Lonchura striata: one gene and its partners. The protein of the gene in region 1 purifies or fractionates together with the protein of each later gene. This does not show direct contact. Links are inferred from orthologs where the notes say so. Each region holds a gene or a part of one and is shown in the gene's direction. Other genes may lie near its edges.

The links.
Region 2: the proteins of RHOD (region 1) and DAAM1 purify together in Homo sapiens (affinity purification with mass spectrometry; 3 studies listed by BioGRID and IntAct, counting the BioPlex papers as one, with this or other methods). This does not show direct contact. The link is inferred for Lonchura striata from reciprocal best matches to the Homo sapiens genes RHOD and DAAM1.
Region 3: the proteins of RHOD (region 1) and PLXNB2 purify together in Homo sapiens (affinity purification with mass spectrometry; 3 studies listed by BioGRID and IntAct, counting the BioPlex papers as one, with this or other methods). This does not show direct contact. The link is inferred for Lonchura striata from reciprocal best matches to the Homo sapiens genes RHOD and PLXNB2.
Region 4: the proteins of RHOD (region 1) and DIAPH2 purify together in Homo sapiens (co-immunoprecipitation; 3 studies listed by BioGRID and IntAct, with this or other methods). This does not show direct contact. The link is inferred for Lonchura striata from reciprocal best matches to the Homo sapiens genes RHOD and DIAPH2.

What each region holds. Positions count from the first base shown.
Region 1 is NC_134608.1:53,914,336-53,921,218, reverse strand, and holds RHOD (rho-related GTP-binding protein RhoD), read left to right. Parts: upstream 1-4,749; coding exon 4,750-4,878; intron 4,879-5,341; coding exon 5,342-5,429; intron 5,430-5,646; coding exon 5,647-5,756; intron 5,757-5,842; coding exon 5,843-5,977; intron 5,978-6,089; coding exon 6,090-6,257; 3' UTR 6,258-6,376; downstream 6,377-6,883. Other genes in the region: mas-related G-protein coupled receptor member H-like, read left to right, coding at 1-267; GPR152 (putative G-protein coupled receptor 152), read right to left, coding at 2,071-2,988. UniProt on the Homo sapiens protein: Involved in endosome dynamics. May coordinate membrane transport with the function of the cytoskeleton. Involved in the internalization and trafficking of activated tyrosine kinase receptors such as PDGFRB.
Region 2 is NC_134608.1:5,141,514-5,149,255, forward strand, and holds the start of DAAM1 (disheveled-associated activator of morphogenesis 1), read left to right. Parts: upstream 1-4,739; 5' UTR 4,740-4,949; intron 4,950-7,742. UniProt on the Homo sapiens protein: Binds to disheveled (Dvl) and Rho, and mediates Wnt-induced Dvl-Rho complex formation. May play a role as a scaffolding protein to recruit Rho-GDP and Rho-GEF, thereby enhancing Rho-GTP formation. Can direct nucleation and elongation of new actin filaments.
Region 3 is NC_134607.1:30,343,402-30,351,349, reverse strand, and holds the start of PLXNB2 (plexin-B2), read left to right. Parts: upstream 1-4,934; 5' UTR 4,935-5,056; intron 5,057-5,367; exon of another isoform or gene 5,368-5,451; intron 5,452-7,948.
Region 4 is NC_134616.1:1,747,127-1,753,978, reverse strand, and holds the start of DIAPH2 (protein diaphanous homolog 2), read left to right. Parts: upstream 1-3,832; 5' UTR 3,833-3,914; coding exon 3,915-4,031; intron 4,032-6,852. UniProt on the Homo sapiens protein: Could be involved in oogenesis. Involved in the regulation of endosome dynamics.

The sequences.
Region 1 (6,883 bases):
TTCTTCCTCCTCTTTGCTCTCCCCCTCAGCCTCTGCAATTTCCTGCAACAGCTCGGTTACATCACTGTGTCCTCCGAGGTTGTTATCCTGCTCACCTGCATCCACAGCAGCATCAACCCCTTCATCTACTTCTTGGTGGGGAGGTGCTGGAGGCCCTGCTCTGTGGGGTCCCTCCGGCTCTCCCTCCAGAGGGTGTTTGAGGGGCCAGAAGAAAACACTGCCCACAGAAATGATCCTGCCATGGATACAGCCTTCTCAGCCTGTTGATCCCTTCTACTGCTCTGCTGAAGGACCTTGGTGCAGAGTCGCCTGATTAATAAATAGCCACTGTATCACCTTCCCTGTGGTGCTGTATTCCTGCAGGAGAAGGGAGAGGAGGCAGTGCCAAGGACCATGTGTGAGGGATGCTCTGCAGGGAGCACATTCCCCCTCCCTCACGGGTCCTAGAGCACTGCTCCCCAAACGGATCCTTCCCAACACTGTGATGCCAACATTCCCCCTGGCACCTGGGTCCTGCATCCCACTGAGGTCTAATATCAATAAACAGCACCATGAACCCCGAGATCCTTTGCCCCCTCTCCCAGCGCTTCCCGGCTTCTCCTGACTCCTGCTGCCAGCCGGGAATGTGGCTGGAAGGAAGGGACACACCCATGGCTTGTGCTCCCTGGAGCAACCTTGATCCCCAGTGCCCCGAGCCGGGCTGGCACTGGCACAGCTGGCATGGACAGGATGGACCAGGAGCTCAACATTCCCTGTGAGTGCTCTGTGAGTGTCAAACCAAAGATCTCCCCAGAGATGTTTAGTTTTTAATTTTGTGAGCCAGATGCAAAGGTCTCTCAGCCTGCAGAAATTCCTCCTCTCCACTCCTTTCAGTTGCCCCCTCAGCAGGCTCCGATGGTGCAGCAGCAAGGAGAGGAAGAGGCCGTGGTCCTCAGCACGGCCACCCCCTTCCAGGAGCAGGGTGGCACCTGTGTTTGTCACCATGGGCTCCACGGGGCATCACCCTGCTCCCTGTGGCTTTGCTGAGGTCACCAGCCCCACCACATCCCACACCTTTTCTCCAGCCCCACCACATCCCACACCTTTTCTCCAGCCCCACCACATCCCACACCTTCCCACCAGCTCCATCACATCCCACACCAATCTCCCATCCCACTCCCCATGCAGCCCACCCACCTCCCATCCTTCCCATCTCTCCCAGCCCCATGCCTGAGGCTGCAGTCCCTCCCCACGGGCTGCTCACTCCAAACTGCCTCATACGGTTTTTGGGGACTGTTTCCCTGGGACATTCCCCTCCAGAGCTTCACCCGCGGTGTCCCGCCCCCCAGCCTCCCTTGGAGAGGGACGAGAGGCGACAGCGGGATGGATCCATTAGCGTTTATTGGGGAGAAGGAGCGCGGAATGGCCAGGAGTGGACACACTGCCGGGTGGGGACGGGCTGTCGGGGGAAGGCGGCCCTGGGCGGGGAATTTGGGATGTCAGAGGGGATCGGGAAGGGTCCGGATGCCGGCAATCCCAAAATTTCTCACAGGAGGGCAGCAGAGCCCGACGGATCGCGCTCGGAGCGGCCGGCAGCTGGGAAACCTGCGGGACGGGACAGGACGGGACGGGACGGGACGGGACGGGACGGGACGGGACGGGACGGGATGGGATGGGATGGGATGGGATGGGATGGGATGGGATGGGATGGGATGGGATGGGATGGGATGGGATGGGATGGGATGGGATGGGATGGGATGGGATGGGATGGGATGGGATGGGATGGGATGGGATGGGTACAGTGAACAGGGAAGGGGAGCCGAGATGAGGATGGTTTGGGGATAAGACTGGATTGGGAATGCAGATGGGATGTGGATGCAATGATAGGGATAAGGACGGGGAGAGGGTTAAGGATAGGGATAGACACAACAACACGGATCAGTGGGATGGGAAAAGGGATGGAAAAGCTATGGGATGCATCCTGACTCACAGCTGCAGGAAGATGACCTGCAGGCCTGGCTGGGAGCAAGGGTGGACAGCTGAGCATGAAGCCAGCACGGACAGCACAGCCGGTGGGACCACAGTGGCCTTTCATCTGGACATTGTGGTGATCCCTGTCTCCTCAAAGACCCTCTGGAAGGCGACCTGGAGGGACACGATGGAGCAGTGCCTCCAGCAGCTCCCCACCAAGAAGTAGATGAAGGGGTTGATGCTGCTGTTGATGCAGGCAAGAAGGAAAACCACCTGGGAGGACACAATGGTGTAGCTGAGCTGCTGCAGGAAATTCCAGAGGCTGAGGGGCACTCCAAAGATGAGGAAGAAGAGCACCGTGAGGAAGATAACAATGTAGAGTCTCTTAGGCTGACGTCTCTTGGAGCCACACTGGACCTTGATGAAGAGGATCACATTAGAGATGACCATGGGTGGGGCAAAAATGAGGAAGCTGAGGGCATACATGGAGATGAGAGCCACCCGGCAGTGCTCATGCTCCTGCGACAGGCACAGGGAGGTCACCACGACCACGACAGCGATGGAGAGGCCCCAGAGCACGGCACACACCACCCATGACAGGCGCTGGGGACGGCGGCAGCGGTACCAGAGGGGGAAGAGGATTGAACCACACCTCTCGATGCTGATGGCTGTCAGCAGGTACAGCCCCATGTTGTAGGAGAGCAGCGACAGCAGGAGAAGGGACCTCAGGTACTTCAGGGACACGACAGTGGAGCAGGACACATCCTCCAGCAGGTAGAGCAGGGAGGAGGGGACCATGAAGAGCAGGAAGGTGAAGTCAGCGACGGCCAGGTTGAGGATGTAGACAGTGATGGGGTTCCTGCGGATGTGGAATCCGAGGAGCCAGAGCACAGCCCCATTCCCGGCCAGCCCACAGAGGCAGATGAGCAGTGTGACACCACCTATGGCCACATCGGTGACATCGATCTCACAGAAATCGTCTCCTTCGGTGTCCATCACAGGAGATGAGGGAGGTGGGGAGGTCTGGTTCAGCTCCATGGTGGAAGGTGGGATGTGGTCCCCAGCTGTGGGTCAGGGCAGAGGGGGGTTAGTGGGATGTGACAAGGAGGGGGATCCTGGTGAGGTGGCACAACAGGGCTGGGGACAGGGGGGCTGTGGGATGGCTGGGCGTGAGGTAAGGGCGGAGGGAGGGTTGGATCAATCCAGTCATCCCGATTAAGGACAACTATGGGAGCGGTGAGAGGGGCTTTGGGGACATCCAGGGAGAAACAAGCAGTGCCCAGGGCTGGACTCTGGTCCCAGCCCCCTACCTTTCTTTGGGGCCAACCTGTTGGTGTGTCCGAGCAGGGCAAGCTCCCTCCTTCCGGTGCTTCTTGCCACGGTCTTCTCCAGTGCGGAAAACTGGGGTCTCCACGTCCTCAGAAGCTCCAAGCAGCCTATTTGTCCCCAAATAAAGCTGCTTTTTGGGGCGTTTCTGCACAATCACGGGTCAAACACTGAGAGCACTGGGCAGCTACACACAGGCTGCCTCTTCTCCCGTCAAAATTCTGTTTTGCGGGAAAGGAAATGTTTTGTCCGAGCAAATACCCAGAGGACAAACACTGCAGCAGTTACATCTCACTTTGAAAGAATCTTGATGCTTTTAGGATTCAACCTGATATCTCATTAGACTGGTAATTGCCACCTTCCTAATTGTTTGATGTTGCTCCAGCCTCCTCTCCCCATGCTGCCCCGATGCTGGCATCCTTCTGAGATTGTTCATTACTGCATCTGTGCATTTTTCTCCCAGCCTCCCAGCATGAGAATCCCTCTCCTCCGATTCATCCTGCACCAGGCCTGGGGGAGAGTTTGGAATTTGTTGCCTGAGCCATCACTTTGGATTCACTCCAGTTGGTCTGGGGGCTCCAGAGCCCTCCTGGACTGGCTGGTACCCACTGAGAGAACCTGGAGAGGCTGGTGGCAGATGGGGGAATGGCAGGGGACCGCACACACGACCCCACATCCCTCCCTGCAACCCCACACCAGAAGCACCCATTCAGCCCCACCAAAGTTTTGGGGTGGCAGAAGAGGGGAGAGGGTCTTGGGGACATCCCAACAGGGGCATGGGGGACATCACTGCTGGGATGGCATGTCCCCGAGCAAGGCAGTGTGTCACAGCCTGTCCCACCCGTGTTGGGATCACTAGGAAAAGACAGGAGCAGGTGTGGCTGAGCTGGGTGCCAGGGACAGAGACTCCAGCATGGCACAGCACGGGTGTGACAGCAGGGGTGGCAGTGACAGCGGGGCCAGGGCAGTGAGTCACCCCCCACCGGTGCCTCACTCCACCCCTGGACTTTGCCTCCTGCGGATGCTCAGGGCAATAAATCCCAGGCTGGGAGGCGGGAACGGGGCGTCGGGGAGGGCACAGGGGTCCCGTCCCTGGGGGCTGCGCTGTGCAGGGGGATCTGCACGAGCAGGGCTGGGATGGGGAGTGGCATCAGGAGCGGGATGGGGATCAGAGTGTGCCAGAGGCAGCGGGCAGCAGTGCGAGGGAGCGTCGCGCAGGCAGGCAGGACACGCAGGTGGCAGCGTGACGCTTCTGCACCGCGAGGCCCTGCCGGGAGAAGGTCACCCGTGTGCCAGGACACCTGTACGTGTGTCCCGGCTACTGTCACCGCCGCGGCCCCAGCCCCGCGGCGGGCGGGCCCGGCGGGCGGGTGACAGCCGCACCCTGGAGCGGGCGGGTGCCTCCCGCCTCCCCGTCCCCATCCCTGTCCCCAACGAGGCCACTCGGGCTCCGTGGCCTCAGCGGACGCCCCCATGCAGCGGGAGCGCGGGGAGCAGAGCGCAGGAGCCTCCGAAACCGAGGTCAAGGCTGTCATCGTGGGGGATGGCGGCTGCGGGAAGACGTCGCTGCTGGTGGCCTTCGCCAAAGGGGACTTCCCCAAGGTACCGGGATGCCTGTCCCCTGGTGGGTGGGTGACACTGTCCCTGTGCGGGAGTGGTGACGGGCAAAGGGCGGTGGGACGGACACGGTGGCGGCAGCGGGGCCGTTTGAAGTGGGACATGGGGACATGGGGGTAGCCCAGCCTGGGGCTGATGGGGGCCTGTGACGCCTCTCTCTCTTGGGGAGTCATGGGGAGGAGCAGGGTTTGTCCCTCCGGGAGGGCACATAAGGGACTCAGGGAGTGCAGGGAAGGGGGGCAGCTACAGAGACCCCAGAACCCCTGTCCTGAATCCCCACGTGCCCTGGGATGGGGGACGAGGGTGGGTCCCATCCCACTGCCCCAGGGAGGAAGCACCATTCCCATTCCCTATTTCTCTCCCTGTGCTCTGTTCTGCCCCACTGGGGTCCCCTCTGTCGCTGCCCCCCACAGCTGCCACTGTGACCTGTATCCCTGTCCCCTGCCAGGTCTATGTCCCCACAGTGTTCGAGAAGTACACGGCGTCCCTCCAGGTTGACGGCAAGCCCGTGAAGATCCACCTGTGGGACACAGCAGGTGGGACAGGAGGGCACAGGGCGGGCAGTTGTGCCCCCCACTCTCCCATCCGGGCGTTTTGGGGTGCCCCACACTCGTGGTTATGCCTTGGAGGGGTCTCCCCCTCCAAGGGGTCCCCATGACCATGGGAGAGGGGGGTTAACCCACAGCCATCCCCACAGATGTCACTTTCACTGTCCCAGGCTGGCATGTAATTGTTTCCTTCTCCACCCGGCAGGACAGGAAGACTATGACAGGCTTCGCCCTCTGTCCTACTCAGACGCCAACGTTGTCCTCATGTGCTTTGATGTCACCGACTCCAACAGCTTTGACAACATCCTAACAAAGGTAATGCCACCCCGGGGTGCTGCCTGTCCCCTGTCCCCATCCCTGGGTGGCACGTGCCCATCCCGGGGTGACGTGTCCCCCCACAGTGGTACCCGGAGGTGAACCACTTCTGCAAGGGGGTCCCGGTGCTGCTGGTGGGCTGCAAGACGGACCTGCGGCAGGACCAGGAGGTGCTGCAGAAGCTGAAGGACGGACGGATGCAACCCGTCTCCCGCCAGCAGGTGGGTGTCACTCCCAGTGACACGGCACGGGACAGGACAGGGGTGGTCCCCAGCAGCAGACAGTGCGACAGCAGGGTCCCGTGGCGGGGTCTGACTCTGTGTGTGCCCACAGGGAGAGGCCATGGCCCGGCAGGTCCGCGCCGTGTCCTACATGGAATGCTCGGCCAGGTACCAGGATAACGTCGGGAACATCTTTGTGAGAGCCTGCCATGCCGCCATCAGTGCCGCCCGCCGGAGGCAGCGCAAGGCGGGACCCAGGAGGGTCTGCGTGATCCTCTGAGCCCCCCGGCAAGGCACAGCCCCCCGGGATCTCCTGCTGTCCCCGAGCTCCGACCGCACCACGCCTGCTGCCGCACCTCTGCCTCCGCCACCACCGGAATGCCGCTGCCACCCTCCCGACCGGGGTTGGCACGGCTGGTCACCACGGGGGGACAGCAGGAAAGCTTTCCTTGGCACGAACTGTCACGCCTGGATCCCAGAGACCTGTGCCACCACGGCTGCCAGCATGCCCTGCCAGCCGGGCTCTGGGGGCAGAGAACTGATTTGGGGCTCCCCTTCCCGCTGGCAGGCCAGTGCCGGAGGGTGGCGCGGGGTGACTGCAGGGTGATCTTCTGCCATTAAAGTGACACAAAACTCATCGGCGTGAAGGGTCCCTGGGGCAGGAGCAGCCCCTGCACGGCCTGGGGACAGCAGGGACTCCGGGCGGGCGTCAGGGACATGTTGGGGTCCCACCATGGGCCCCGGATGGATGAGAGACCACTGGGATGGGGTCACCTGCTCATTTTGGGTTGAGGTGTATGTGAGCATGTCCAGGTATGTCCTGCACATACAGGTCTACAACCTTATATATAGTTATATATATATGTTTATATATATATATTACCATACAATGTATACCTAACTATA
Region 2 (7,742 bases), about 49 Mb from region 1:
TGAGGAAGAAAACAGGGTGCTGAGATTTCATCCATTGAGAATTTGCTCTGGTTTTTTTGGGTTGTTTTTTGTGGTTTTTTTTTTGGTTTTTTTTTTTGTATTATTGTTGATTGTTCGGTACCTTTCACAGCAATTCAGTGCAAGTCATCTCTAGGAATAGGGAGGAGAAAAAAGACCTGGGCAAAGTTACAGATCCCTAATCAGGAATGGCTTGTTTTCTAGCCATGAGAGAGTCTAGGGGAGAAGAGATAGAGCCCTCCAGCCACCCTGAACAATACATGTTCCTCCAAACCCAGCATCTGAGGCTGGCACAAGGCTGTGGGTGAAGCCTGGCACTGGCAGGACATTCCAGGGAGGAAGATTGACCCTTGGCTTCAGCAATCAGGAGCTGAGTGTCAGGAGTCTGCCAAAGACACGCCAGGTACCAGCAAGATGATCCAAACCAGAGCATGGCTGCACGTGCAGCATCTCACAGGAGACAGGCAGGAGGATGGATGGCAAGGGAAGCACGAGGGCTTCTGGCAGTTGCAGGGACCAGTGCAGAGGGGATGAAGGCAAGGACAGGAGCACAGAGAGGGGTGGGGTGGAAGGCCCTGACCAAGCTACAGAGATAATTTAAAGCTTCCTACACCCCAGCACACTTACAAGTGCTTTATATCTCTCTGCCACTCATCTGAGCCATCTCTTTCCCACAGGGCATGGAGATCTTTCAGGTGAAGCAGCCAGGAGAGGCTGTGCTCTCCCAGCATCTCCCAGCAGAGTAGGTTTAGACAGGGCAGGGCTGGAGCAAGACCTTGTTATAACTGCTTACAGTAGCTCTCAAAATCTGCTCTCCAATTATGTCTTACATTTTATATTTCTTAGAAAGACCAGCTGGGTGGGCACTGAGCAACTTGGTCTAGTGGAAAATGTCCTTGCCCATAACAGGGGTGCTGGAACTAGATTATCTTTATGATCCCTTCCAACCCAAACCATTCTATGATTCTGTAATATGATTCCATTATTTTACCCTTCTCTGAACACACTGGGAAAGAATTTGGTTGCTTGGGCTCCCAATATCCCCACCTCCACCAAGGTACAGCTCCCTGGTACACCATAAAGCACTTATGTGCATGTGATTAAATGCCACTGAAGCGGATGGGAATTTGCTTACAAGCAAATTACAAATTCCTTACAAGCTTAAGGACTTTGCAAAATCAGGGCCTAAATCCACTGAGTCTTTGCTAATGCTCCCAGCCCGCTGAGTCCTGCTTTGGGAATGTGTCTATTTTCCCTTCTGGGGCTATGAAATGTTATACCAAAGCTTTGCCTCCCCTGCCAGCTGCAGGGAGCTGATGTGAACCCTGGGGTGAGATTGGGCTCGGTGCTGTTGGAGATAACATTGGTTTAGGGTGTGGTTTGTTTCCACACAGAACATCCCAGCCCAGATACAGAACTGCTAAAGGTCTTCTATGTACTCTAAAAACCTCATATCAAGCAACAAAAAGCATAATGCTGTCTCCTACCTTTGAGCCAAAACCAGCCCTGATTGCTGTGATGGAAATATTCCCACAAGCTCCAGTGGTCTGGGATGGTTTTAGGGGCTCAGATGGTGATTTTGTTCTTTTGGTGCAAGTGTTTGGTTTAGATCAGAACAACGATTAAATAAAAGCTGTGGCCTCTATTTCTGCTGAGCATATAATCTGTGCAACGTGAAAGACTATAACCTCGAGAGGGCTTTTTTCCCTCCAAAATCAATTTTACTTAATTTTTGTAAGGGGATGGGTTCCATATTCCATTACTGTCAGCTGAATCAAGTGTCCTTTTAGGTTTCACTGGAACACATAAAAACTCCTCCCCAGAGATAAGGACAGTATTGATCTGACATGGATTGGTCGCAGAGAACATTTATTAGGGTCTAGTGAGCATCTAAAGATGAAGGCTACCAAGTATATTCTTACAGATTTAGAACAAGAAACCCATTTTCTTTCCCTCAGCTCTGAGAAAGTCCTGGTTTAGTTTTTCATCCAAGGAGCAAACCCTGCTAACCCCCTCCTGTTACAAGGATTATTTTCCAAGCAGGCTTGGTACCCATGCTCTCCCCTTTTCAGGGCTGGATGCTCATCAGTCTTACACGATGACTATTGCATGTGTCCTACTTATCCAGAAAGGCTATGGGCAGCTGGTTATTGGGTTTTCCTGTCTGAATAGAGGAGCTTAATTTAATAGGCGGCTGTTGGAAAAACAAGCAGGAAAGCAACACAATGGGGCTTGATAAGCGGCATCCAAACAAGCTCTGAGGAGGCAGCTACAAGAAAATGGCTGAGCAGTTTTGATGAGGAAGATGCAATTCCAGATGCCAACCATTAAGCTGATACTTAGCCAGGCTGGGAGCCTTGCAGATCAAACCATCACTATGTGGTTAATGAAAGTCCTTGAGGAGGAAAAGAGTGGGAGAAGGGGGGTCCTGGGAAGGCATTTTATGGAGAAAAATAAGATGAATGGAAGGGCAAAAGAAAAGCTGTGCTGGGATGGAGGCAGGGACCATTCTGCTCAGCATCCTCTCATAGCCAATGGTGTATGATAAGCCAGGGGTATGAGAAGTGTTCAGGGATATTTTCCCATAAACTCTCCAAGTCCACAGCAGGCTGCATGCAGCTCCAGGACTTCCTGAGCCTGAGGCTTGTATAGAAATACTGGATTGAATAGTCCTGGCCTAACCCTTTACCTCAGCGAAAAATGCTCCCTATCTTTGATCACTAGTTCTTTGGTGAGAACAGAGGCCAAAGCTGCTCACAGTATTCAAGAGGAGAGCAAACCAGGAATTTGTACAGCAGTTTTTCCTCTTACCTCATTAACTCCTATCTGTCTATTTGCTTTCTTGACTGCTGCTCAGCAGTGAGCTGATGCTTTCAACAAATTCCTTGTTATAACCTGGGATCCTTTTCCTGAGGGGTTGCAGTCAGTTCAGAGCCTGTTGCCATGTGCATGATGTTAGGAGTGCTCCCTGTGAGGCTCATCACTTACATTTGTCTCCGGAGAATTTAATTTGTCATTTTGTCACTGCACGTCCCGAGGTCCCGCTGTGGTTTGGTGCCTTGGGCCTTTCCAAGCAGCTCAGTGTCACCAGAAGCCACCACCACCATGTCCCCTACTCCTACATCACTGATGAAGATGCTGAGCACAGGCCCCCTGCTCAGAGCTCTGTGAAACTCCCCACCTCATAGCTCCAGTGCAGACTGACCATCCCAGTCTGGCCTTTGTGGTTTCTGCCTATAAACCACTGAGGTTTTTTTCATGGCTCCTTACTCCCCTCAGTATGTTTTGATGAAGGATTTTGTCAGAGCCTTTAAGAAATCAATATCTCTTATATCCATTAGATCTACCACATATTTGGCTCCATCAAGGACTGTGGTAGATTTTGTGAGTTATAATTCCTCTTGCCAAAACTTGTGCCTGGGTACAGATATTTGTCCTCTTGTCCCACCAGTTTCACAACACCATCATTGCATTTGCTGCTCCAGATAACCTGCCCTTGACACCTTTTATCCCAAAACTGCTTCTGTGATTGCTTCAACACCCAAAGGGCAAGAAATCAAGCAAGGCAGGCTGGAGACCAGCGTGGCTGAGCAGAGACCTGCTCCTCAAATTGAGGAGTGAGAAGCAAATGCTCAGCCAATGGAAGCAGGGACAGGTGACCTAGGAAGAGTACAGGGATATGATTTTGATGTTTAAGGATGGGGTCAGGAAAGCTAAGGCACAAATGGAAAAGGCCAAGGAGAACCTGGTATAGTGGAAGGTGTCCCTGACCATGACAGGAGGGTTGGAACAATATGATCTTGAAGGTCCCTTCCAACCCAAGCCGTTCTGTGATTCTGTTAATTTTACACCACATTTTGGTATCAACTCTATGGATGCTTTCTTTACTTTCCCAACACTGGCTTCTCCTTTGTCCCTGCATCAATTTTTGTGCAGACTCCATATGAAACACAATCACAGTAAATCTCTTCCTGCTTTTCAGACCTTCCCATATAGTTGTTGCCAAGAAAGAAAAAAAAAAAATATTCAAGATGTAAATAGCTTGACTTCTTCTCCAAAAAAAAAAAAAAAAAAAAGAAAAAAGTTTACTTAAGGTAAAATGTTCCACGCTATTAATTTGATCTGAGTTTTGATTTGCACCAAGAACACTAACTGCTCCTTCTTCCATCTCATACAGCGAGGTTATTCCCATGCATGTGGGAATCCAACCGTGTATCCAATTGCTGCTCTGATTCACGTGAAATGGGAACCTCTGGAAAATTGATTTCTTAAATCCAAGCGGAGACTGCCGCATCTTGGGAGGCCTCTGCCAGGCAGCTGCGACACAGATCCCGCGTGTCCGTGTCGCCAGCCGGCTGAAACTTTATCCTCGCCGCTCGGCGGGAGCGGGACCCTCCCGCCTGCCCCCCGCCTGCTCTGCAGCACGGGCAGCGCGGAGCGTCCCGCTGCGGTGTCCTTGGAGCGGTGCCCTCGGCGCGGTACCGCCGGTGCCGTACAGCCTTTGCGGCACCCCCAGCACCGTACCCTCGGTGCTGTACCGCCGGTAGCGCCGCCGGGGCGGTACCCCCGGCAGGGCACCGCCGGTGGCGGAGCCCCCGCCCCGCGCGTCACCGCGAGTCCCGGCGGCGGGCGGGCGCTGACGCCAGCGCGCCGGGCGGGGCGGGCGCGGCCCATTGTGGGCAGGGGCCGGGCGGGCTCCGCGCCGCGCAGCGCAGCGCCGCGCCGGCAGGTACGGCGGGCGGGCAGCGAGCCCTCCGCCCCGGCAGGAACGGCGGGCACAGAGCCCTCCGCCCCGGCAGGAACGGCGGGCAGCGGGCAGCGAGCCCTCCGCCCCGGCAGGAACGGCGGGCACAGAGCCCTCCGCCCCGGCAGGAACGGCGGGCAGCGGGCACACAGCTCTCCGCCCCGGCAGGAACGGCGGCCGCGCTGCGGTGAGTGCTCCGAGCCCCTCGGCGCTCCTCCCTTTCGCTTTGCGGGGCTTTCGGCGGAGTGTGTTGCCCTTCTCCCGTAGCCCGCGGCCGTGCTGCGGAGGGGTTCGGGAGCACCGGGAGCCGGCGCTTTTCTGCCTTTTCCTCGCCGTGGGGAGGGAGGCGAGCCCGCGTCCCACCCCGCCCCGGGCGCTGCGTGGAGCTGTTGCCCCGGGGGGAGCGCCCGGGCCCCGCGGAGCCCGCTCCGCTGCCGGCGCCCCGGAGCACGGCGGGTCCCCCGGAGCACGGCGTGTCCCCCGGAGCACGGCGGGTCCCCCGGAGCACGGCGGGTCCCCCGGAGCACGGCGGGTCCCGGGCGGTGCCCAGCCCCGTGGGCGCCGGGCAGGGGGCGCCCAGGCGGGGGCGTGGGATGCGGGATGCTGCTGCTGCGCTGCCTTCTCCATGGCAACGCCTCCGGAGGCTGCTGCATCCCCGGCGCCGGCTGGCACGGCGGCTCCCACCCCTGCGGCGACTCCCACACCACCGGTGTGACCCCCCTGGTGGGGCTCCCGCGGGCTTTGGGGAATCTCAGCTTCGTGAGTGCCTCCCCACAGGCACGGCTGTTCGGGGCTGCCCCATCATCTGTGTGTGCCAAGCCTCTGGTGCTGGTGTCACACATTTTGCTGCAGGCGTGCTCTTGTCCGGCCGATGCTTTGATGTGGGAGTAGGATTTTGGCATGTGCCGGTGTTGGGCTATGGCTTGGCTACAAGCATGTGTATGGCTCAGGCACCAGGTGAGGAGGTCCGGTCTGTCACTGGCTGCACCCGCCCAGAAATTCTGGGAGGGAAGATTCTGGTCAGGGGTCTCCCTGGAGGAGGGACAATGCTCCTGCTGCATGGAGCCTTGAGGGTTGGCTGCCATTGCTGTGCTGTGGCTGTGGTCGGATCCTGGTGTTTTACTTGGCATGTAGTCTTCAGTGTGACCAGTGGGGTTTGGTCCCTGGGGTCTGCAACCCTCATGGCTTTCACACCACGCTGCCTCTTGCATTGGTGCTGGTGTGAAACAGTCTTTCTGCATCTTTAAGTGATCAAGGTTAATTTAAGGCACAGACAGATGATAATGTGACAATAATGTGTCAAAAGCCACGTGAACCGACAGGGCTGTGCTTGCCAAACTGGGGGCAAGGGGCTCCCCGTGGAAATCGGAGGCAGGTGGAAGATCATGGGGTGCAGCCAAGTCTCCTTTTGCAGGTGCTGGGGAGAGGGCAGTCCATGGCACAGGCTGTCCTTGTGGTTTTGACCAGGCCTGAGCACTGCAGATGCCCGGCATTGTACAGCCAGGCAGCTTCTCCTGGCTGCATGGAGAAGGAGAAGCCATTGGTTTTCTTTTCTCCCTCTCTAGAGGTTGATTCTGATACTGTGTACAAAATCAAGTGCTGGTGTGTATTAATGCCTCAGTGGTCAACCGTAGTGCAACCTCATTATCCTCCCTTGCCAAAAACCAAAACCAATGTATTCCAAAGCTATTGGCATTCCCTGCCTGCCCCTCTTTGAGTCCCATTAGGAGTAGATGTGTCCTGCAGCATCTGGACCTCTTTCCACGAGCACTGGAGTTTGTTTTGGCGTGCGTTTCCCCCCAAACCCGCAGGTCAGACATCCACCTTGCTGTTCCTGGATTAATGAGTGACTCACCCTGCTCTCCCCATGGCCATATGCTGGGACCTGCCCTGCTCTGTCAGGAGCAGGAAGCAAAAGCCAAAGTCCGCGATCTCTGACCGCCCAGTGTGGTGTGACACCGGGACAGGAGGAAGCAGTGACACTTCCTGGCTCTGGCCAGCGCTCAGCTGGTGTGTGGCTCTGCCGGTGCTGCCCTGACACGGCCCTGGGATTTTTGGGTCCAGCCAGCCAGGCGTGCACCCTGCTCTATGTACTGGCCTCTGCCCCGGGGAGGCAAACAGGATGGGTGAGGTGTAAAATCAGCGCTGAATCCGCTCCCCTGGGCTTGAAACGGAGTCAAACCGGTCTTGACCTGAGCTGGCTCCTTATCTGACCCTTTGTTTGTGGCAGGGGTGCAAGAGGGAGCAGGAACGGTGAGGACAGGCCAGACCAGGGGACAGCTGGTCTAACTGGATTGTGATTATCTCCCTTTGCTTCTGTGCTTTGTTTTGGTTCCTTCCTCCAGTTTTCCCGCGCTGTCATGTCACAGCTGAGGAGCCCAAGGCAGTGGGGACATGGAGCTGTGGGGCAGCTGGGCTTCCCACAAATTTTGTTTGTCAGCCAGCCAGCAGCATAGCTCCTCTTGCTCCATCTTCCTGCTTTCAAGTTTCCATGCATGACCATCCCTGCTGGGTCCATCCCTAAAGGGGGATGCACTTGGAGCAGCCCACCACGTGCCCAGGTTGCACAGTGGTGCATTTACAACCTGAACGGGTTGTGTGGGGATCCTGACAGATGTACCACCCAGAGTGAGTGGTCTGCCCATCCTCCTCCTGCACAGACACCCACTGAGCTGCTCCTACACGGCCACTTTTATCTCTGAAGTATTAATAAAATGAAGCCTGCCTATTTCTGTGAGCCTTTTTAAGAGGCTGGCGGGGCTGCCTGGAAGGCTCGCTCGGCACTGCAACTATTCAGAGCTTTTTTCCGCGTGTGCTCTAGCAGCCGATAAGCCAGGGCATCCAGCTGTCAGCTTTGCAGATTGCCAAAGCCTGCTGAACAGCATTTCTGCAGCCTTCGCTCACAAATGAGGATTTTGTTGGACGCTTTGGTTTCTGACTTGATGCTGGTAATTAAATATCTTAACTTGGCTTCAGAAAG
Region 3 (7,948 bases), on another chromosome or scaffold:
ATACATACAGATGTGTGTGTATGTGTGTTTGTGAAGGGCTTATTTAAACAACAAAAGAAGGGAATGAAATGGCAAGGCCTTTTCTATTTCTTATTTGTTGTTAATATTTTATATTAATTCTCATTTTACCTACTTTTGAAATACCAATAAACTTCCTGATGGAAAATCTTAAAAATTTTAATTATTATAAGTTTTTTTAAATTGAAATGTCTTCAAAAATTCAAGATCACTTTAAAAAATGCAAGCATTGCCTATATGAACCTCTTCATTAACCAAGGATCTCTTATCAGGCTCACACACAGCCAGGTGCAACCAGGGCAATGTCAGAACATCTAGTCTTGACTGCAAGGGCTGATACTTGTAATAGTTATGCATATGCATACAGCTACTGCACATATCCATATAAGGCTTTCTCTGGATTCCACCTGGAAATTGTATCCAGAGCACCTGCTGCTTTTTTATCTCATACCTTTGTGCAACAATTTATATCTATAAAAAGTATATGTAAAACTAAAAGAAAAATTTTGACGAGGTAGAATTTTGCACAGGAGTAAACAAATGTATCAAGTGAGTGTTGGTTAAGAAATACCAAAACCCACTTGCTCTGGGTGGATCAAATATTTTCTAGCATCAAAGGAAAAAAAAAACATGAAGGGAATTGCACAGTTAACCTTAGCTAATTTCACCCCTAAACATTTTTTTTTCTGGATTGTTGGAAAATGGACACTGAGAAATCCATCAAGCAAAGAATAACCCCAGATATTTACAAATTGATCTGCCATGTGAGCTTGGTGCAAAGGGCATGAAAATCAGGCTGTGCACAGTGACATTTCACAAATCTAATAATAACACCTTAGATTTATCTGGCATTTTTATACAGAAAAAGTAGATCCCATGGTGATTTATGGACTGTAAAAATATAAATATGTATATTTGGGTTTTTTCAGTCACTAGGAGAAGATGCAATGCCCTCTCCAAACCAGAGACATCAAATGGAGAGTGAAAAATCCTTACAGATGCTCTGTTTATATCTTTGCCATGAGACTAAACCCATTCAGGTAGTATCCTAGTTCTTGTGGTTTTTTGCTTTCCCATTATTGATAAAAATTTCTTACAAAGGATGGTGGCAGCAGGAGTGCTAGGGCAGGCTGAATCTCAATGGTTGCCCAGTACAGCTGATGAATTGCTGCTTAATGAAGAATATTTTTTTCCCCCTTTCTTCCCCCTCACCCGTCAGAAGAGAGTTGAGACATGGGACATCCCCAAGCAGGATGTAATTTCCGTGCAATTTTGAAAATTGCACAGAAAGTGCAATTTCCAAAACTTTAGAAAGGATTTTATGTTCTTTTTTAGCTGTTTTGGTTGCTCCCAGGTTATCTCCATGACCACAGGGCAACAGCCTTCCTTCCTAAAGACTGATAATCAATCATCTGACTCTTTATCTGCCCATCAGCCCCTCATAAAAATGTCAGAACACATTGGCTAGCTGCAAACAAATGAATAAAAGAGGTAGGAACCTCAAAGATAATTAAGTTCCTAGGGATTTGTGAGCATCAGCGACTAGAGGCTCAAATTAGTGTTCCAGCAGGGAGAGGTGAAGGCGGAGCGGGGCCGCTCGGGGCGGTGCTCGGCAGCAGCCGCGGCCCGGCGCGGCGCGGCGCGGGCAGCACGCGGCGCTCCGGACCGCAGAGAGGAGCGCTTCACCTCGGACACGGAACACAAACGGGAGACCAGCCCATCGCAGCGGGTGGGTCAGCGACGAGACCACAGGAAACCTGGCTTCATTAGCTCTGTTGATCATGGAACAAGGTGTTTTTTAATGATAGCAGCTGAAAATTCCGCTCTTTTCCACAGGCCTTGAAGGTCTCAGCAGTAGGAACGATTCCATCTATGGCTGCATCTTGGAAAAGATTCAGAACCGACGGCACAAAGAAGAGAAGCAGGCAGGGAAGAGGCACAGGTGTCACCTTCAGTGCAAAAGAAAATAACATGCAGAAAAAAAAAAAAGAAAAAAATCATGAGGATACACGTAACAACAAATGGGTGATAACAAAGAAAGGAGAGACAGACGGGATGCAGAAGAAGGAAATAAAGAGGAAATTGAAATCTAGACTAGAGTTCTATTCAAACACAGCTCTGTCATCTGTGTCCTGAAGCTGGAGAGGGAGGGAACAAAGCATTCTGCCCTGAGTCACACCCTGTGCATGTGCATGACTGCAGTGAAGATCCCCAGGAGTCTGGGAAGCTGTTAATCATTCAGTCCTTTACTTGTTGCCCTTCTCTAAGCATCTCCGCATTTAGGATTTGATGTGACCTCTTTTCTTCTTTTTCTTTTTTGTTGGATAATGCTAAGGGAGGGAATCAATCTTTCAGTCACAAATAGCAGGTTTTGATGTGCAGCTGTTTATCTAGGTTCACTGGAGAATATCTCCCTGTATCCCTTCTCCATGGGTCAGAAGGATGGTGTGCTGGTTGCAAGAAAAGGAAGTGCAGAAGACCATCTTTGCAAGTGGACCAAGTGCTGAATTCAGCATGGACTTCACTAACCATAGTGCTGTGGTGCACATTTTTGTCCCAGCTGGCAGAAGTGCAAGTCAATATGCCACACTGCTGCTTAGGACATCCAAATGTGCCTGGCAGAACAGCAGCTTATGGAGGGTTAGCAAAGAAGATGGCTATCCTGGGGTGGGATGCTGTGTGGCCACCTCAAGATCTAGATCAGTTTCATAATCCCGGTCACACTTGCAAGGTCAGGTGCACAGCAAGGGATTGTTAGGAGCTGCCCTTCCTTTGAATTAAAAAAAAAAAATAAAAATTGTCAGGAGGCCAGAGCAACAGGAGCTGAACAGGAGCAGGAGGAAACTATTCTGGCGAGAAGATGTGTTGTGAGCTGGGAGGGGGGCAAGGCTTAGATTTAACTTGGCTACAGTCACCTTGAGACAGCAAAAGTGTGGCAAGTACAGTCCTGGTCAGTGGTCATCAGATGGAGCAGATGTGGGGTTTTCCCCAGAGTAGGGAAAGCAGATCATTAGGTTTGGAGCAGGCAGGGTAGGGGGAGGAGTGACAGAGACCCCAGCAAAAGGCCCTGGGGCAGAGCATGATGGAAGGCAGAGATTCACTGCCCTGGGCACAAAGAGAGCTGCCAGGCTGGTAATTCCAGGGCATTCTGCCAAAACTTAGGGTACAATCTGGCCAGAAGCCCAGATGTTGTGAAAGCAGCCTGGAAAGTCAGGTGTTACCAAGCCCATTAGCAGCCTGTGAGTTTCTCCTTACTGGATTCCTCACAAGAATTGCAGGACATGACTAATTCACTTTTCCTAGGGAAGTCCCATCTCCCTCTTCAGATTCCCTCTCTCCTTTCCAGTAAGTGAAGAGGTACAGAAGGGGAATCCAGACCTTCTGAAACACTAGACCTGTTCTTTCTTATCTTGCAGTGACTAAGCCCAGTCAGGTGAAGAGCAGGAAGGAAGCCAATAAAAAAGGACAAGGGCCTTCTGGTGGAGGTTAGCACAATAACTGGGCCAGACTGGCAAAATTCACCCAGCACAGCCTGCCTCCCCTGTGCAAGCCCAAAGGGAAAACCCCACAAAATTCTATGGCATGTTTGAATAGTCCCAACCCACTGTTAAGTCTGCAGTGGCACTTTGCACAGACAGGGTCTGAAAGCCACTTTTAACATCTCTTCCAAAAGTGCAACTATTCTTGCCCAGGGTTTTGGAGCTGTTTTTTATTTATTTTGTATCTCTTGCTGTTTTGAGATGCAAAGGTAACTTTTCAGCAACTTCCTGTTTGGGAAGCACGGCGTATAGACCGGCTGTCTCCTGGTGTTTTAGTAGGGAGCACAACGCACACAGCATTTAATGAAGCTGCACTCAAAGTGCCAAGAGCAGTAAATTCATTTCTCCTTGAAACATTGCTGGTCCACATTTCACTGATGGAAAGTTACAAAGTATAAACATCCTGACCAAAGCTTACCTGAGCCATTCTTCTAAGACATCCCTCCTTTCAATAGATTGTCTCTACATTAGCTATAGTTGAGACAAATTTAACATCTGAACGTGCAGATGATGATGCTATAGCACAGTGATGCTGCGTTCACAACAGGTGGGAAGTGAGCTCTGCAGTAACTGTTGATCTGTTTCTGGGGGAAGGCATGAAAACTTTGCACACAGGCTTTTTAGTAGAGTGCTTGAGCAGAGAGAGAACGTGCAGAAATTGTTTTTGCAGAGGATTTACCTATAGGGATAAACCCTAGAGTACTTCGAGTTCAGTAAAAGTGATGCCAGTGACATATTCTGGGCCCCTCATCGATAAGGGTGTACAAGAAGGGAGGAAGCCACTGGGTGCTCAGAGACTCTGCTCGGGGGATAAGGGATGGGAATTACAATGTGCCTTCGTGTTCAGGAGCGTCCCCAGAACACCACCGGGATCCGACAGGTCCCGCAAGGCTGTTAGGTACAGAGCAGCAGGCAGCCCCTTTCCCAGCGGTACCGCCGTCCCGCCGGAGAGCGCCGCGGAGGCCGAGCGCCGACCCCGGCCGCGGGCAGAGGCTGCCCAGAGGCAGTTCCCGGCCGTCCCGCCGCTCCCCGCTGTTCACCCCGAGGGCCCCCGGGCGGCCGGGGCTCGGTGCCCCCGGCGCTGGAGCTGCAGCTCCCGGCCTGGCCCCGGTCCCCCGTTGGGGCTCGGAGCCCCCCCGGTTCTCCGGGAGCATTCGGCCCCGCTTCGCCGAGCTGGCCTCTGCCTGGCTGGCGGGCAAAACAAAGCGGAGACAGGGAAAGGAAAACGGGGAGAAAGTGCGGCTCCTGCCGCCTCCCAGCCTTCTGCCTGGATCTCCCTGCATGAGACAGCGCTGCAAGCGGATCCTGACCGGGGGCAGGGGGTGGAGAGAGGAGAAGGAGGAGGACGGACAGAGGGAGGGAGGGAGAAAGAGAGGGAGGGAGGGAGAAAGGGAGGGAGGGAAGGAGGGACGAACGGGAGCCTCTCTCCTTCCCTGGGCTGTTTTTTTCAGTTTCCTGTCTCGCATTGTGCTCACAGCGGATATGTGCTGCGCCTACAGGTGTGTCCCCTCCTCGCAGCTTTTCCCCGGCTCCCAAGCGTAGGCTCTGGCTGTCGGGGCGCGGCGGCGGATCGTGACCGCCGTGTGATGATTATTTCTCTCGGGGCGGTTTCTCTCTCCTCTCGCTCTCTGCTTCCCCCTCCCTCGCTCCCCGCCGCTCTCGTCCTTCCTCTCGGAGGTGGCCGCAGCCGCTGCCGCCTTCGCGCTGACTCCGGCCGCGGTGGCGGCGGCGGCGGGGCCCGCCGGGAGCATGGGCGGCCGCCGGGGGCTGCCGTAGCGCCTCTGTCCAGCCCACCGCCGCCCGCCGGGGGCTGCCGGGGCCGCGGCTGCCGCTCGGGCAGCTCGGACGGTCCGCGCCCGCGGCTGCCTCCCGCCGGCGCCTGCACCTGTTGAAGGTAACGCAGCCCCAGCCCTGCCGCCGCGCCGCGGGATGGGGCGGGGAGGGGGGGAGGCGGATTCCACGGAGACTTCCCTCTGTCTCCCCCAGCTCGGGAGCTGCTGAGTTGTGGCTAGAGCAGCTTCTCTCCTCCTCGGCTGCGGGGCCAGGGCCGGGGATAAGCTGAGAGCTGGGGCGGATGGGGCTTTCTACCGCGCTGCCCGCGACCAGATGGTTTTGGTTAAAGGGGCTCCCGGGCGGCGGCTCTGGACTCGGAGCGCCTTTCTCAGCCGCCGTGCAGGGCGGGGAGGTGGGGGAGGCGCGGGGAATCTGCTCCTCCCGGCCGGCAGCCGGGGAGCGCCGGTGTCCGGCGAGCTCCCTCCGCCCCACTCGATGGAGCCTGGCTGCTCTTCCCGGGAGTTTCGCAACCCCGAAGCGGCCGGGGTCAGCAGCCCCGATGTCGCGGCTGGCACTGGCCCGGCGCCCACCCCGCGCTCCGCCTGGGCGCTGCCGACTCGGGAACTCGTTTGGGATTTTCCTGCAAACGCATTTTGTCTCTTCGCAGAGGCAGCTTTAAACTTTCTTTCCAAACTGTTAATTAGATACACTGTACTTTGCTCATGTTCCGTGGAGGCGAATGGGAGTGCGAGGCTGGAAAGGCTTGTGACTCAAGGCATAGTTATTCGGGAGGTGCAGAACATCTTTGCGTGCTGCGTTCAGATGGGCTGTACCTGTAATTTGTGACTTTGCCTTCTCCGAGATTTCGTCGGTCTTGGTGACATCGGGAGGCAGAAGGGATAGTTAACACTTTGGGTCCTTTCGAGGTTAATCAGACACTCGGTTGAATATACAAAGGAGGAAGTGTATCTTTATCTCCTCTCTGATGGAAAATAATATTGCTTTTCTCTATGAGTAACAACACTATGGTCCTGTCTTTATTGCTGAGCTCGTCATCAAATGATAACTTGCTCGTAAAGGAACTTACGCTTTTGGAATGAAGGCTGTTACCTTGAATGTGATGATGAGCTTATTGAACACCAGAGGGAACTCTGAATAGGTAATTCATTCGAGGGAGATATATGCTTATTTTACTGTTTATGTTCTCATTACAATGGAATCTAGGAGGAAGTAAAGGTTGGTAAGTAATGAGCTGCTGGTATGTACCTAGGATTGACTTCAGTTTTCTTAACAGTTCTTTTCAGAAGACATCGATTCTAAATCTGGCCTGAAAAAAAATCTTCTTTTTTTCTTTCTTTCTTCCTTTCTTTTTTTTTTTTTTTTTTTTTTTTTCCCTCCAAAGCTTAAAATGTGCAACTGGTCTTGCAACAACTATGTACCATGCTATATGCAAATCAGCTGGGAGACCTGTTCACTATTTGCTAGGGAGTGAGATTATACATGCATGTTGGGCTGATGCTTAATGCCCTGCCTGCCTCTCAGGTTGTGAGACAGATCCAACACACCTGGGTACAGGGGCTGCTGCCTACAGTCGATATACAAGAATAGAATATGCTTCCAGCCAAAACAAAAGGGAGGAAGGAAGGAAGTCTACTTCCAAGTAGCCTGTCTTGTCCTCCTTACCTAGAACACTTGTGGATCTAAAGCCTAGTCTGATTGCCTGTGAAGTAGAAAATAGTCTTTCTTAAAAGATATGACTTTAACAAATACAGAAATGAAATGGTGTCAGTGTTTAGGAAAGGAGTTTGAATGGTGGCTTCTGGTACCAAAAGCTGTTTAAATCATTTGAGATTATTGTAAGAAGCTATGGTCAACCTATCAAAATGTGTTTTGTAGTAACATGAACCCCAAAAATTTGCAATTGGCTATTGAGACTTTGGATGCTTGTGATAGTCTGTTACAACAATGTTGATAAACAGTCTTCTTTGATACTCCTGAATTGTCAAAGACATGGGAAGGATAGCACAATGAATACACTTTTGACTCTGACATTTGCTCCAGAAGCTGATGCATTCAGCTGTTCATCCTGTCCCTTTGCCAGAGGTTAGTCGGCCATTCAGGGTTATTTTCTATTTAACTTTGAATCTGAGTTTACAGACAGGCATATGAATGTCAACTATATTTTATGGCTATTCATATTAGTGTTGTGAAGTCTGATAACACAAATCTCCTGTATATCTCTCTGTTGTGACAGAGGGACAAAGCAAACACTTGAGGTCAGTTGAATTGAGCTGCAGTTGTGAAGCATAGTCCATAGGCATCTAAATTCTTCTGAAATAGCAGGTGTGAGCCCAGTGACCTTCCTTGTACCAGACCTTGGTGGGCAGTGGTAGTGGGGAGGCAGCTCTGCATAAGGAGAGGCTGTGTGACCTCCGTTGGTTGGTGAGCAGCACACAAGGTTCTGGGTTTCAGAAGGATGTAGTAGATGGTGTACCTGAACAGCCCTCTCTTCCTCTCCTTCTTCCAGTCTAGCAATCAGAAAGTGATCCAAGTTTTTTTGTTGATTTATCAAAGTCTTTCTTTGTTTATCTGACTTGAGGACTTGTTATGTAAAATAT
Region 4 (6,852 bases), on another chromosome or scaffold:
GATGGCCAATCCAACCCACCTGAGGCTGGACTCTGGTCACAAGTTGGGTGAGAGTTAGAGTCAGAGAAAGTATTATGTAGTTTTAGTATCCTCCTTTTATATAGTATATTAATGTATTTTAGCACAGTTATAATAAAGAAATCATTCAGCCTTCTGAATTGAGTCAGACATCCTCATTTCTTCCCATTGGGTTCGCCTGCATTTACGATAGCCAGCCATCCTCAAAGGCGGGTTTCATCAGCTCAGACAGAAAATGATGCACGTTTTGGGGATGCTCAGAATGCCTCATGCTTATCAGTGTCTGATCATTTTGCTGTCAGGTAATTGTGTGATCTCTGTGAGCTGCTGTGCTTGTGTGACTGAATGGGACTGAGATTACACAGAAGGAGAAATGTCAGCACCTACAGAGCAGCAGCTTTTTGGAGTTACACGTTTGCAGTGTTGTGAAATGATATTTGGAATAAATAGTTCTGAAATCCATTCGCTTCAGAGATGAAGCCAAGTTAAGAACAGTTTGTACAACTACTCGTTTCCACCCTCAGGCCACACTGTTGCTCTCGGAGTTGAGCCAAAATGCTGCATTGCAGTGCCTGCCAAAATGAGGTTTGTCTGCCTGCCTTAGGCAGAGTTGTGGTTTTCTGGAAGGTTTTTTGTTTGTTTCGTTTTGGTGTTGAGGGGCTTTTCCCTGTAAATGTCTCCTGATTGGGACAGCTACGTTATTTCTCTTCACTCCTTTTGTTTGGAAGTACCTGCAGAGTTCATATGGTCATAAAGTTCCTTAGTTCATACATGGAATATTTGCTTCTCAGTCCTGGAAACTGGAGTGGGGTGGGGGAAGAACACTAAAATGCAGCAGTATGACTAAAAACATTTTCAAAAACAAACCAAGAGGCTTTAACTTCTGCTGAGGAGGCTGTGAAGTGGATCTAATGACACTTGATCTATGGCAAGCTTTTCAAAAGCAGGTCTCCAGCAAATCCTGGAGCAATGTTTTGTACAACACAGACAATTTTAAGCCACAGCTGAAATCTCCAAATGGAGACTTGCAAAGCATTTGTAAATCAGAGTTAAAAAAATGAAATAACTCTGTTAAGCAAGCAGCTATCTGTCCCAGGAGAGCAGGCAAACCCAGGAAGGAGAACTAAGAGCAGCTGTGGGTTGACTTTTCAGCACATGATGCAGCTGCAGCCTGATGCTTGCACATCTTTTCTCCATCACTCAGACAAGGGTACGTTCATTACAATGTGCCAGCACTGAAACAGCAAATCCCCTGTGATGTTTGCAGTGATGTGTGGTGTCCCCACACCTGCCTTCAGTGCTTTTTTTCATGTTTTGCTCATGTCAAGAATGTGATCTGAGTCTTATTCCATCAAAACTAAATTACCTCAAGGCCTGACTACATTTGCTCAGTTCTCTCGATTTCCCACACGTGCCACTTGCTCTCACTCACACCACAAATTATTTTTGGCATGTTGTGCCAGCTCTCCTGAATCTTTGAGGTCAGTTAGTGTAAAGGTTTTACTGAAGAACAGTTGGCAAGTGCAGTATGAGGAGCATTGTGGCAAATGTAGAAAATCTAAGGACAAAAAGTTCTTGAGCCCTTAAGAGTTATGCTGAACAAACAGTGCTACAGAATTTGGTTTAAAAACTCTTAAATTTGTGCACACAGATGCCAGGCTGTTGGAAATTTTTCTCTGAATGTGGACTGACTGAACTTCATGCCCCAGATATGGGTGCTGCTTAATACACAAAAATAGAGACAGCAGAGAAAACCCAAAATGGTAATTAGAGCTAATTGAAAAGAAGGAAAAAACAGATTTGAGCATTTCTTTTTAACTAACCACTGCTAAACTGTTTCTGTAGAATGATATCCTGTAAACTATAAATGGATGTAGTTGGAAATAACATTACATTGCCTGCCATTGCAAATAAGTGTTTAAGTTAATGATTACTTGATTAATTTAATAATTTCAACTTAGGTATAAGATGGTATCATAAACTATGTCCAAATAATTATTGTTAAAATCATCAGAATGAAAAAAGGATTTATATAGGAAGGAGGAGATGAATCTCAAAGGAAATTTTAGAACAGAGCATCTAGACAGAGCTGGTCTATTTTATAGCCTCCTAACTTCTGCTGCCGATATTCTACTTTGATTTCAAGACACCTGCCAGTTTTAGAGCTGTTATTTATTTCAAAGCTGGTATTGTCAGATTTTACCAGCAGGTTTGCATTGCTGGATTTAAACTGTAAGTATTTCCTCCAGTACTCAGGTAAATCTCAGAGAGTCGCAAGATATGCAGACAGCCCCCTGAATCTCAGGCTTTGCATCACTATGTATTAGACAGAGATCAGAAATTCACTATTCTGTCTTGTTTGCCTTTTGGGACTCTCTCTTAGAGGTCAATAAATGGATAAATTTATATCTGAATGCATTGCCCTTGTCACACCAAAACAACAGATCATGACGTTGTTCATAACTGCTTTCTCAACATAATTTAGCAGGTATCAATTCAGGTATACTAACACAAAATGTTGTATTTTTCTTTAAAAAACTGAGCTGAAGACATCTGTCAACACGATGCCTTTAATCACCAGACGTGTGACCCATGATTTTCCTCTGTCCATGCTCATACAGAGCATCCTGAGGGTCCTTCAGTTCACACAGCGAGGCTCAGCCGAAGGGATTCTGGAATCCACAGAAATGTTTAAGCAATTTTTCATTGCTGCAAGCCATGGGTAGATGAGTCCGATACTGTTGAGCAGGAGAACAGAGAAGCAGCACTGGGGTGCTCTAAGTGGCCTTCCAGAACTGCTGGGAACCTTCACCAAAGACAATTTACAAGAGCACGTAGAGACAGAACACAGGGGAATGGCTTCAAGCTGGAAGAGCAAAGGTTTCTGTGAAAAACGCCAATCAATTGGTTTTTAAAATTTTAAAAGTTTAATAATAATAAAATGGTTATAAAAGTAGTAATACAATTAGAGTAATAAAGTTTAGAGTTAGGACAATTACAAGACAATAAAAAGTAAAGAATTATGGACGTCCAGATGCTCTCGGACACTTAAGTCATGAAAAGCATAACTTGTGAACAAAGGAATAACCTTAAAAGCAATAGCCTGTTGCATGTTCATATATTCTTTATGGTTATGCATACATTCTATTTAAGACAAGAACTCTGTCTGTTGTATGTCAACTGTTTCCTTTAATCCCCAAGGTGAATTTGAGTCTGAGCAAGGCCTGAAGAAATTAGCTTCTTCTGATAAGAAAACCATAAATCCCTTTTCTCTGGAAGATTTAGGTGTTCTTCGAAGCGAGTATCTCATTCCTAAAAAAACCCAAAAAAGCTCCCCCCACATACATAGTCTCTATTTTAACATTATTTTAAAACCTAAAACTAAGAGAATTAATACAGCATAACTTTCTAACATTACACATATTATACTCATTGTAACGTTTGCGAAAAGCCAATCATAAAACACGAATTTTTCACAGTTTCCAGTCGGTATGAGGTAGAAATCCTCGCCTGTGAGGATGGGGCGGCCGCAGGTGCTCTGGGCAGGCTGTGCTGAGGCCGCCGCATCCCGGGCGCGCCCAAGGCGAGGAGAGCCGGGGTTGCGGACACCTGGGCCGGCGGCAGGAGGAGGAGATGCTCTGCACGGCCCCGCGGCCCGGAGCGCCCCTCAGGGCTCCGCCATTTGCTGCGGCCGCGCGCGGGGCGCAGGCGCGCGCCGCCGCGCAGGCGCGGTGCCTCGGGCGGGCCGTGCGCGTGCGCGGCGGGGCAGCGGCGCCGCCCCGGGCGGAGCGGGCGCGGGCGCTGAAGGGGGGGCGGCCCATGGGGCCGGTGCGGCCGTGAGCGCTCGGTTCGGCTCGGTTCGGCCCGGCCCGGTCCGGGGACAGCCCCGCCGAGCCATGGACGGACACGGCGCTCCGGGCGCGGGCGGCGAGGAGCCGCTGAGCTCCGGCAGGATGAACGCCAAGCGCGGCGGGCGCGCCGCGGAAGAGGAGAGCCGGAACAAGCCCAAGCTGGTGAGCGGCGGACGGCCGGGCTCGGGCAGCGGGAGGAGGAGGCGGAGGCGGAGGGAGCGCGGTGCGCCGCTCCCCGCGGGGAGCGAGGGGCGCGGGCAGGCTCCGTGCGGGCTGCGGGGCTCCCGCCGAGGCAGCGCCCCGAGGGCCGGGCCGCGCTGCCGTGCCCGGGCCCTGCGGCTTCGCGGGGTTCCCCCGCTCGGGCGGCGACAGCGACAGCGACAGGGACAGCGCCAGGGACAGGGACAGCGACAGGGACAGCGACAGCGACAGCGACAGGGACAGCGACAGGGACAGCGCCAGCGACAGCGCCAGCGCCAGCGCTGCCCCGCAACCTCTGCCCCGCTCCGCCGCACAGCCGGGGCGCGGCTGCCTCCGGCTGAACAATCCAGAACGCCGCTGGTCAGGATGCCAGCCACGTGCTTGCCAACCTCTCACTTCATGGGAAAATTATTTAGGAAGCTGGGTGGTGCCTTATGGTTTTTAAAAGTAAATCCTTTTTAGGGCTGCAGTTTGTTCGTTATGGATACGCTCTTTGATTTTTTTTTTTTTTTTTTTTTTTTGTACTGGCAGACCTGATAAGTGAAAATACAGGCGGAGTTCAAGGCAGCATCACTGGGTTGTATCACAGTTCATAAATGCTGCAGTAGCAAAACCAGCTAATGTGAAAGTGTTTACCATTATTGTTTACATTTGTTAGTTGCACGTGTTGAATCTGCCCAATTTAGCTCAGTTCTGGGTTGTATTTCCAAGAGCAACACTGTAGCAGGCACTTAAAACACCCCGAGTCTTCTCCTGGGAGAGATTACTAAAGTTGCAAACTTTATTTAACCTGTTGCAAGGGCTTTCCCCGATGCAGGTGAAACTGAGTATTGAAGTTTTCCCACCATGTGTTCCTTTTAGCGAGTATCGAGCTTGCAGATAATTAGCCTGACAACTGCAGTTTGGGTTCTTGTTGTTTGTTTGGGGCTTTCTCTTGTTTTGTTTGTTTTCCTTGTGCTGAGCATGAAGTTAGCGTTTGGGGAAGTTGGTGAATATATAACACTGAGGCATAGAAAAGTTACTGAAAGTTATCCTTGTTTCAGAGGATGACAGTTTCATGAATGACTTGAACTGTGCTTGTATTAAAAGTGACGAAGTGTATCTTGGCAAAAGATAAGCAGATGTGGTGTCTTGTTTTGTTTCATGGTGTTATTGGAAACAAATTCATGTTTCCTTGCATAGGATAAACTTTGTATAAACAATACTTTTGGGTCTGTTTATAGTACCTCTACTATTTCCTGCTAAAGTACTGAAGAAGGCTGCCTGGAGATTCCTGCAGGGAACTGATTCAAAAATCACTCGGGGAAGTGCTTCTGTTGGAAGCTGTGAACATAAATTTGAATTTTGCTCTAGCAGAAGAGAACTCTGTTCTGATAGAAACACATAATTTGAAAAATCAAAGTGAAATGAGCTCAAAATTGGATTGAACAGGATGACTATTTCCACTTCATGGTCTATTCAGCTATTCTAAAATCACTAGAATAAACTTTCATTGTTCCATTGAGTGGGAAAAAAGAACATTATGTTAATATTTGATTTCATTCAGAGCAGTATACTTTTGTTTCTTGAGGGGGTGGATGATTGCAGTCCAGCAGCACCCTGGATCAGAGCAGGGATATGTTGCTCAAATTAGAGCCTTCAGAAAGATAGTTTTGCTCTGTGGGGTAAGTGAATGGTCTTAGATGATATAATTGAGTGAGTGGGTTGAATAGGAAAGCAGATTTTTTTCACTCTGGACATGATGTGCAAAAAATGGTGTATAAACCTGACATGAACTGAGATTTACTTTGAAGGAGTAAGAAGGGTGGGATTCAGGTGTGCTTTCAATTGAGGTGACTGGACAGCCAGATTTATCCATTCCTACCACGGGTTTGTAAGGGAAGAACAAGCCTGTAATCAGGGAAAAGCTTCATCCATTATACAGGAGAGTAATCCTATGACATTTTGCTGCCTTTAATTTGAGTGAGGAATTGCTTCTGGAGCTGGCAGTGTCTTCAGGCACTGGGAGAGCACTCTTAGCTGCACCTCATCGCTGCTCTCTTCTGTGCAAGATAAAGGTGTGTTTGGGACTTGGGGCAGGGAAGCTGTTTGTGCTGTGCTGAGTTGTCACTGAGCTCATATACCAAGTTCCTCACAGCTGGGTGTGGAGATTTCCTTGGTTCATCTCTGTAACTTACAATTCATCGGGTTTCATTGGAGTTACAGAGATGAATCAACCTGCACTCCCTGTCATGTGTTGGGTGTAATTCAGGGAGCTCAGTGTGCTGGCAGGACTGTGCCTCCTCCCAGAACTCATTTCACACGTCAGGGGAGTGCTGAGCAAGGCTTTGCTGGGAGAGGGTGTGCAGCCACACACAGAGGAGAAAGTATTTTAGGTTCCTGGCACAGGAGCTGAAATTAGACAAATCCTTGGGAAGAAGTCCAGAGGAATGATTTTTATGTGATAAAAATGGCTCTAGGTGACAGAGGGCTAGGAACTGAAGTCATTATCCCGAGGGAAGGGAAACTAGAATAGAAAGGTGGAAGTTTTTGATTTCCCTGTTCTCTTCATCTGAAACTAAAAGGTGTGCAGTGCTGCTTGGCCTGCAGAAGTGTAATGGTTTGTCTGGAGGGGGGTTTAAGGGCTGCAGCTTGATCAGTGGCACTTTTTCCTGATGGACAGGAAGTAGGACTGGGCTGTTGAGAGAGAATCTGTGCTGGGAAGGAAAACAATGCTTTAAAGTATTTCTCTGAAAGACAATTGACCATATACACACACAAATAATTAATGATGGGCTGGATC